Linked DNA regions of Oryzias latipes. The protein of the gene in region 1 interacts with the protein of each later gene in a pairwise test. Links are inferred from orthologs where the notes say so. Each region holds a gene or a part of one and is shown on either strand. Other genes may lie near its edges. The genes, in order: myod1 and id2.

Region 1 (4,420 bases):
CCGAGGGCCGCGCTCTGTCTCACTGAGCGCAGCGGCGGCCGGGGAGGCAGGAGCATCGGCCGTGGCTGGGAGGCAGCTGCTGTCGGTGGAGATCCGCTCCACAATGCTGGACAGGCAGTCCAGACTGGAGACGACGGAGCTGCGGTCATTCCTGTGGCCTCCTACGGCAGAAAACACCGTCAGTCAAACATGATTCAAACTAGACTGTGAGGTCACTCCTCTATGTGTGAATAAAACCTGTAAACAGCTGTGTGCAGACTATTTATTGGTGTGTGTGTGTGTGGGTGTGTGTGTGTGTGTGTGAGAACCAAGTCATGCAGTTTACTTATGACACTCTTGACTCTGTATTATCCACTGCTCCCCCACCCCCCATCTCTAACATCCACTCTCTCTCTTCTTGTTTTCCGTCCGGTCCAACAAAGAATGCATATAAACATAATTATTATGAATAAAGCCTAACCTCAAATACATAAGGGGTTTACACCAATTGATACCATTGTCCAGGGAAATACTCGATTCTGATTGGCTGCTGGGTGTGGATAAAAATGTGTTAATGTACATCTAAAAAGCAGTTCCGGTCACATATCTTAAATGTTCTGTATCAGAATCTTTAGCTTCATCATCTGGACAAAAATGATCAGTGACAGGAGAACTTTCTCTCTGAACTGATGCTTTATTCAACCCATCGTGATCATCAGCATAGATATCACTTTCCTTTGCCGCACCACTCGAGGTTGGCTAAGTGGCATGTTACTGTGACAACAGGCTGCACCGCATGACAAATAGTTCGCTTTTGTGAAAAAGCAATCTAAACCGTAAAAATGACCAGAATAAAGTACTGGTTGACTATTTATTTATTTTGAAAGTCACCATGGTATAAGTGAGTAGATTTACTTCAAAGTGTTCATATTTTTAATGCACTTTGCAGTTCAACGCAGGCTTACACGGCAAGCGTTAATAATGCACCCTTTGAAGGATATTAACCCCTAAATAAATTGTGTTTGTCTAAAGATCCATAAAGTCCTGTTGTAAAAGTAAAATTTGTCCAACACAAGAGGCCTTCAGCTCTGACATACTTGCTCAGCTGTAAATATAGATATAGATATATATCTATATATATATCCTTTTTCTCATTTATAGAATTTATAGAGAATGTCATTGTTTTCTTTAACCTCATGAAAACTAAATTTATTTAGCAAAAATAAAAGCACATCTTTGGCTTCATGAACAGATTTAGTTAGATTGCAAACGCTTTATCATTTCAGATGAGCAATGCTGTCGGCTGGTTAAAGCGCAAATCGGATCTTTCCTGTGTAAAATGTTGGCGCGTGACGCGGCCCCCTCTGGCCCGCGCGCAGCTCACCGTTCAGAGCCTCGGAGAAGTAGGAGCCGCCGTCATAACTCCCCTTTTGCGTCGTCTGACACCTCGGTCCATTAAAGTCAGTCTGGAATAAAACACAATGCTTTTTTTAGAGCACGCCAAAAGAGTAAATAAAACACAATTTACACAATGTCACATTTTTGAAATATCAACACAAGGGATATTTTCCGATAGTAAACACTCGTGTATTTTTAAACTGGAATATATATATATATATATATGGGCTTTCTTTGAACAAACAAGCACAAAACAGCAGCAACAATATTATTATTTCATCTTCCTGAGTGTTTCGCACGCGTTATAAAAGGAAATTTGTCAAATAATAGAAATCCTAATGACGGGACTCGTATGTTTTATGAAGGAAATTCGTTTGAATAAATCCGGATGTTTGGTGCAAATTATAACCGATTTTTATTCAAGCAGCGAACTGCTCCAAACGACGCTGTCAGTCTATTCAAGAAATACGTAAAAAAGATTTTCACGATTAAAAAAAAAAAAGAAAAGGTTTTACGTTTAAAAATCTTATTTTCGGGAGAGGTAGTAACTGGTAATCCTCTGAATTAACTGAGTAACGCGCCTGTATAATCGAATCTAAAACGGTGAAAGTTGCCTTTCCTTTTTCTTTTCTTTTTTACTGAAGTTTTGTAAAAACTTGTGCCGTCATGAAACGACTAACTAAGTCAAGACTCCATGCGTAAAGACGCGCTGTAGCTCCAGCCTTCGCAGCTTGTCCGAACAGCGGACTCACCATTCCGTCAGAGCAGTTGGAGCGGGGGCTGGACGCGTCCGAGTCCCCGCTGTAGTGCTCCAACACCGGGTAGAAGCCATCCTCCTGGCCGGCGCGCAGCAGCGCCTGCAGGGACTCGATGTAGCTGATGGCGTTGCGCAGGATCTCCACCTTGGGCAGCCTCTGGTTGGGGTTGGCTGACGTGCAGCGCTTCAGCGTTTCGAAGGCGTCATTGACCTTGCTGAGGCGCCGGCGCTCGCGCAGCGTCGCTGCCTTGCGTCTGTCTGCGTTGGTGGTTTTCCGCTTGCAGGCTTTGCAGGCCCACAGCAGGCAGCGGCCCGCCTGGTGGTGGCCACTGGGCGCACGGACGTGCTCATCGTCCTCCACCTCCGCGCGCTGGTGCACATGGAGGACGGAGGACGGGGAGGAGGAGGACGAGCAAGGAGAGGATGAGGGGGAAGAAGAGGAGTCATCCGGCTTCAGCAGACCGCCATGGACTAGCCGTGGGTCTAGGTCCTCGAAGAAGTGCATGTCACTTGTGTTAAAACAGGGGTCATCATAGAAATCATCAGCAGCCGGGATGGGGAAAGGAATATCCGACAGCTCCATGACCCGGTCCAAAACAGGCCCGCAGAAAAGAAATACTGAGATCAACGGGCCGAGCCGAGCTATCCAGCAAACCGAAGAGAGACTCGCGATCCGCGGGTCCGGTAATGTGGGTCCTGTCAGGAGTTTTGAACTGGACTACTGCTGACCTGAAGCCTCTTATACCTGGCACATCAGCAGCAGGCAGGGGGGCCAAGGGGTCAGAGGAGTGTGACCAATCGGTGGGCAGCTGCAGGGGTGTGCGTGTGTGTAAGTGGAGGGGTTACAACTGCACGGTAATTAGAGGCCTGCAGTTAACGGAACAGCTAAAGGAAGGCCGCACACGCATTTCCGCCTTACACACCCGTGTTCAAGCGCCTCTTTGAATGCGCACACACCAGAATTTGGGGCTGTGGCGTCTGGAAGGCTAGCGGTCGCACATCACCAGCAGGTTTTTAAGTTGGGTGCGGAGCCTACAAACAAATCAAGCGTTCGTTGGTCGCGCGCTGAAAGTTCAACCGGTTGAACTTTTTCACGCTGAATCTCAGCAACGCAGCGCTGTGACCAATCAGAAATTAGGATTTGATAGTGTTTGTAGCGTCTTTTCAAGAAACAGTTATCAACCGTTGTAAACATGATCACTAAGGAGAAATGAATAATTGCGGTTTGTTTTTGGCCGGAATAAAATGACACCAAGATGGACATTTATAGGAACAGATCTGTGAAAACAAAAAGGCTGGAGCAAGATTTGAGGGAATTGAACCGCTTTGATTTTGCAGATCGAACCTCTTCCAATAAGTTGATTTAATTACAATAAATATATTGTAGGTGGCGGAGGAGCGCTGATGAAAAGAAGAACCGCCCCTGCAGGTACCTGCGTGTCTGGCGCTGGTCCGTCCGGTCTGTACACCGAATGAGTGTTCATGAAACTGCGTGGAGCGCGCTCTGGAACGCACCTTCACATGCGCACACACCACTCTTTTTTTTGTTTTCATTGTAAGTAGGAAAAATGAGGCAATTCAGAATGTCAGAGACAAATGAAATGTTTGCACTGAAAGAAAAGACTGTCAGCAGAACATTTAATGAGCAGCAAGAAATGTGTGAAAAGCTGGCAATGCAAGACGAGCTTTGGTTGTTTTTAGAGCTATTTTGAAAAACAAATGAAGTCTCTTTTTTTTTTAAAAAACACCACAAAGTTGTTGTTTTAATGGAGAAAAATGGCATGAAAAAAAGGTTTTGCTTTCCCATATTCAAAAAGTCGGTATTTATTCTAAACTACAACAATAGTTGTGAAAATAATGCTAACTGAGTGTCTCTGTGCTTTGGTTTTCATGTATTCACATCAATTCTACTCAGAAATGATCTTAATAATTTTCAAAATCTACTTTTCTTTTTGTTATTTGCACATATTTACGTAGGACCAGACAGAAAAACACTTAATATGTGCGGCCAAGAGACACATTGTGGTGTTGATCCCCCCCACACATTCGCATTGCGTCTCAGGGTAAATGTTGTCGTCAGTGGCGGACTTTAGAGTTCGGAGGCCCCTGGCGAATAACAACGGTTGTATTTTATTTTTTAAATCCTTACATTTAGGGTAAAACATAAGAGAACTTTCTAGCTCTGTTATGGAGTTCAACAACCCAGATTACAGATATCCAGCTTGACTCCTCCTCTTGACATCAATTTTTTTACCCAGAAGCGTCGCTCAGCAGGGACTCTAGTAG
Region 2 (4,085 bases), on another chromosome or scaffold:
TGGTAGAATGTTACAGTTCTAGAGTCAAATGTGTTTGTAGGTAGTTTAAAAAAATAAAAGTAAGAAGCCTTGCAGTGTTACTGAAGCATTTCACTCGTGACGTAGATTGTGTTGTTTTTTTATTGTAAAACCATTTCGTCTTTGCATGCAGCAAATAAACATTCAATTCTTAAAAACATGTTTTGGTTTTGAAATTTCTCGCCTTTCAGCCTCAACTAAAAAAAGAAAAAAAAACATTGATCTTGAATGTAAAACACTAATTTAATGTAATTTCAGGGTAAAAGGGAGAATGAGAAAAGTACCACTGCAGGACTCTTGTGGTCCGACAGATGGCGCAATTTCTATACAAACCTGCTGCGGTTTGGCGTGAACGCAGTCAACTTTAAAGTAGATGTACAGGAATGTCAATGTTTTCTGGACATTGACTTTTTTTGGACAACATTTGGTTCAAATATCCAACATTTCTGCTTTTTTGTAGAATTATTTTTACACTGAGGAAAATTTAGTTTATCAAAATGGATTTGATGGGATGAAAAGATGATCTGACAGATTCCTGAGTTTAAAAAAAGATAGCATTTACGGTTTGATTAATTCACCAAAATAAAAGCGCCTCATTTTTTAGATTTTTTTTTAAACAAGAATGTCTGCACTTTTTTCAGATCTGAATGCAATGAAAAAGCCAAGAAAAATCAAGTTGCACTTTGATTTATTTTTTATATTTAAAAAAAGGTACAATTTACATTACTTTTATAAAAAGTTTCAGCATAATTAAGTACAGCAATACACTTTTGCAGAAGTTTCAAATTCCTGCAACTATACAACTCCTGGTGAGAGTTCACAAGATTTTTCTCTTTTTTTTTAAATCAAGTTTTTTGTTTTTTCTTAAACATTGTCCAGTCCTTCGTGTGCCAACATTTCTGACAAGACAAGACTAAACTTTAAACATTTTTTTCTTTGAACAGTAACTAACCAAACTGCTTGTTTCTGTACAAGTTCCCACCTCCGCAGAAAAAGCGAAGAGATCAACAAGGAGAGAAAGGAGGGAGGGGGGGGGGGTCACGGGGAGGTGAGGAAGAAGAGGGGAGGTGGTAATCCTTGTGACAATCCCCCCCCCCCCTTCTTTCTTCCTCTTTCCCCCCTTTTTTCCTCCCGTTGTCGGGAACATATCGCGCCTTCCTTCCATTTCCAGAAAGGACCCACAAATAAAAAAAAAAAGTCTTAAGTTAAATAATAATGAAAGTGTCACATCACAGGAGATTGTCCTTTTTTTTCTTTTCTTTTTGAAGTAAGAGTCTTGATTTCAGGGGGGATAATGAAAAGAAAAAAAACATCCAGGCCTGAGGAACTGCAGTTGGATGGTGTTGGATGGGTTGCTCCTCAGGTCCTGGTGTGGGTTTTTTTTTCTTTTTTTCTTTTTTTTTTTTTTTTGCGTCTTGACCAAACACCTGCAAGAGATTGAGAAGGAGGAGAGGCGTGTTTAGAAAACGCAAACAGGGCAGAGATCCGGACAGTCTGGCGCCAGGGAGGAAGCCGCAGTTTTTTAACATTTAACCAAACACTCCCAATACTAAGCAAACTCTGCGCTCCAGATGTACGCGCACGCACAAGCGCTCACGACAAGGAGAGGGGGAGGAGGAGGGAGGGAGGGAAGGGGGAAGGCGCGCGCACATTTTTCGCACAACTTCAGCCTACAATCTGGGGAAGAATCAGCGTAATTGCCGCTCAGCTGGCGCCTACCCACTTCTTGTACCAATTATGTGCAGACATCGTAGTAGCAGTAATCCAAACAGCCATTATTTTTCCTGTTGCAGATGCTCTTCATTACAGGCACAAGTGGGGATAATAGAACCCTGACGGCTACTTCTTCCATACGCTGGAAATGCTTCTAATTTGTTTTTATTTGGCACCGATGACGCGCGTTTTTATTCATTTTTAGAATCCCGTTTCCAATGGCTGTCGGGGGAGTGACGCATTCCCCCGCGACAGCCGATTTTGCTGCGGGAGCGTGGAAAGCCCTGGCCAGAGAATGCAGCAGACAGACAGACAGACAGACAGACAGACAGACAGGAGGGACAGCCCCACTTACCGCCTTAACGATGCAGAGTCCGGCTGTCATCTGTCATCAGCTCTGATGGCAACTCCGGGGACTGCAAACAAACAAACGCGGAGCCAAAGCGTCAAAACGCGTCTCATGGTTTCATTTCCCAACAATAGGAATGAGAAGGGGGGGGGGGGCGCATCCCCCTACCCAAAAAAACAAACCAAAAACAACAACAAAAGCAGTGTAATTACCTGTAATGACAAGATGCTGATGTCTGTGTTGAGGGTGGTCAGGGGGGGCCTGGATGCGCCGGTCTGCCCCGGCCGCGCGGGGTGATGCAGGCTGCTCAGTGCGACGCTGGAGTCCAGCGCGATCTGCAGGTCCAGGATGTAGTCGATGACATGCTGCAGGATTTCCATCTTGCTGACGTTCTTGTTCTGCGGGATGCTCGGCACCAGCTCCTTCAGCTTGGAGTAGCAGTCGTTCATGTTGTACAGCAGGCTGAGCGGGTCGTCCACCGGGGTCTTGCTCCGCGAGATTCCCAACGAGTGCTCCGTTAAATTCACGGCGTTTTTCCGGAAGGACCGAACGGGGCTTATTGCTTTCATTCTCGAAGTTTTCTTCTTCTTCTGTTTTCTCTTCTATGTTTGTTTGGTTTTAGTCCCGTTTTCTCAGCCGATCTGCGCTCAGACTGGAATACAGAGCTGTCACAAGCCTTTAAATAGGCAGCAGGGCAGTGTGTGCCGAGTGGGCGGGCCGAGCGCGCGGGTTGGACAGCGCCCTTGTGTCACTCAACGCCTTCCCGGCGCTCCCATTGGCTGCTGAAATCCCCGCCCCTTCTGTAAAACGTTACCAGTGGCAACGCGGGGCCGGAGGCGGAACTTCTCATCTCCGGTGGGCAATTTGGGAAAATTAAGCCCTTACCTGTTTCTGATCAAGAAAATGAATGATTCAAACGTAAACTGGATGATAAAAGCAGCGTTTTCATACTTCTAAAATCAAATTATTAATAAATTAGGATGGAAAATTGAGAAGAAGTGTAGCGGCTTTTTGAAATATTTGACAGTTTGGGACCTAAATGTTCAAAAATCTGATGTGATGGCACAGACTCGGCATTTATGGAACTGAATTTTACTAAAAATGTTTGTTAATTAAACCTATTAACCGTAAACACAACTTTCTATGATGATTAAAGCCAAATCTTAATGTTTATAATTTTTATTTTTTAGGGATAATAGCCAGAGGAATCTGGGTTAATCCACTTCTATATGCTAGAATTTTTAGTTTTTGCATGATTTCTTTGAGGGGGGGGGGGGGGGGTGTTAAATAGCCTTTTGTTTTTGTAGTGATCTTAATCTGCACTTGAGGTGAGTGAGGGAGTCCTGAAGAGGTGATTAACTGTAATTGAATGCTTTCAGATGTTCTTTTCTTCCCCTTCAGATGGAGTTTCGATGCGGATAAAGTTTGGTCCAGGTGACATATTTTAGGTTTAATTTGAAAGTTTATTTTAAAAAAAAGATGACAGGAGATTGACTTTTATTTTGAAATATAACTGATGTTTATTAAATACACAAAAGACCAAACTCCAGCGGCGCATCATGTTTTTCTGCATCATCCACGGGTCCACATCTGCTGAAATGCACATTTCCCATTATCCCCTCCTTCCCCCGTCGCTCCTGCAGCTGTGCACCTCTGCTCACGCGCTCTTGACTGAAGCCTGACAGACAGGTGATGGATCGGCGCAAGAGCACGTCGGTGCAAAAAAAGCCGCGCCCTGCGTCCTCCTCTGCTCTCCTCTTCCTCTCCTCTCTCCTCTCTCTCCCTCCGGAGCAGACTCTCTGGCGCCGGCCACGTGACGTCACCCTATTCACAGCAGCCCTCGAGCCGAGCCCTCGCGGCGCCGCTGAGGCGGTTTCCATGGACACGGGCTTTCAAAGGATGTCGGTCGGAGGTTCTCAGCTGATCCCGCCCGAACAGGGGAGCTACGAACACCGATGCGGTCCGAGTTGGGTCTGCCGGGTTTGGTGCACTCCAAACTAAACTT

Evidence for each region.
Region 2: the proteins of myod1 (region 1) and id2 interact in a two-hybrid assay, tested with the Homo sapiens proteins (2 studies listed by BioGRID). The link is inferred for Oryzias latipes from reciprocal best matches to the Homo sapiens genes MYOD1 and ID2.

What each region holds. Positions count from the first base shown.
Region 1 is NC_019864.2:6,432,630-6,437,049, forward strand, and holds the start of myod1 (myoblast determination protein 1), read right to left. Parts: upstream 2,921-4,420; 5' UTR 2,718-2,920; coding exon 2,130-2,717; intron 1,446-2,129; coding exon 1,364-1,445; intron 162-1,363; coding exon 1-161. UniProt on the Homo sapiens protein: Acts as a transcriptional activator that promotes transcription of muscle-specific target genes and plays a role in muscle differentiation. Together with MYF5 and MYOG, co-occupies muscle-specific gene promoter core region during myogenesis.
Region 2 is NC_019880.2:11,295,682-11,299,766, reverse strand, and holds id2 (DNA-binding protein inhibitor ID-2), read right to left. Parts: upstream 2,757-4,085; 5' UTR 2,650-2,756; coding exon 2,293-2,649; intron 2,148-2,292; coding exon 2,091-2,147; 3' UTR 2,087-2,090; intron 1,446-2,086; 3' UTR 690-1,445; downstream 1-689. UniProt on the Homo sapiens protein: Transcriptional regulator (lacking a basic DNA binding domain) which negatively regulates the basic helix-loop-helix (bHLH) transcription factors by forming heterodimers and inhibiting their DNA binding and transcriptional activity.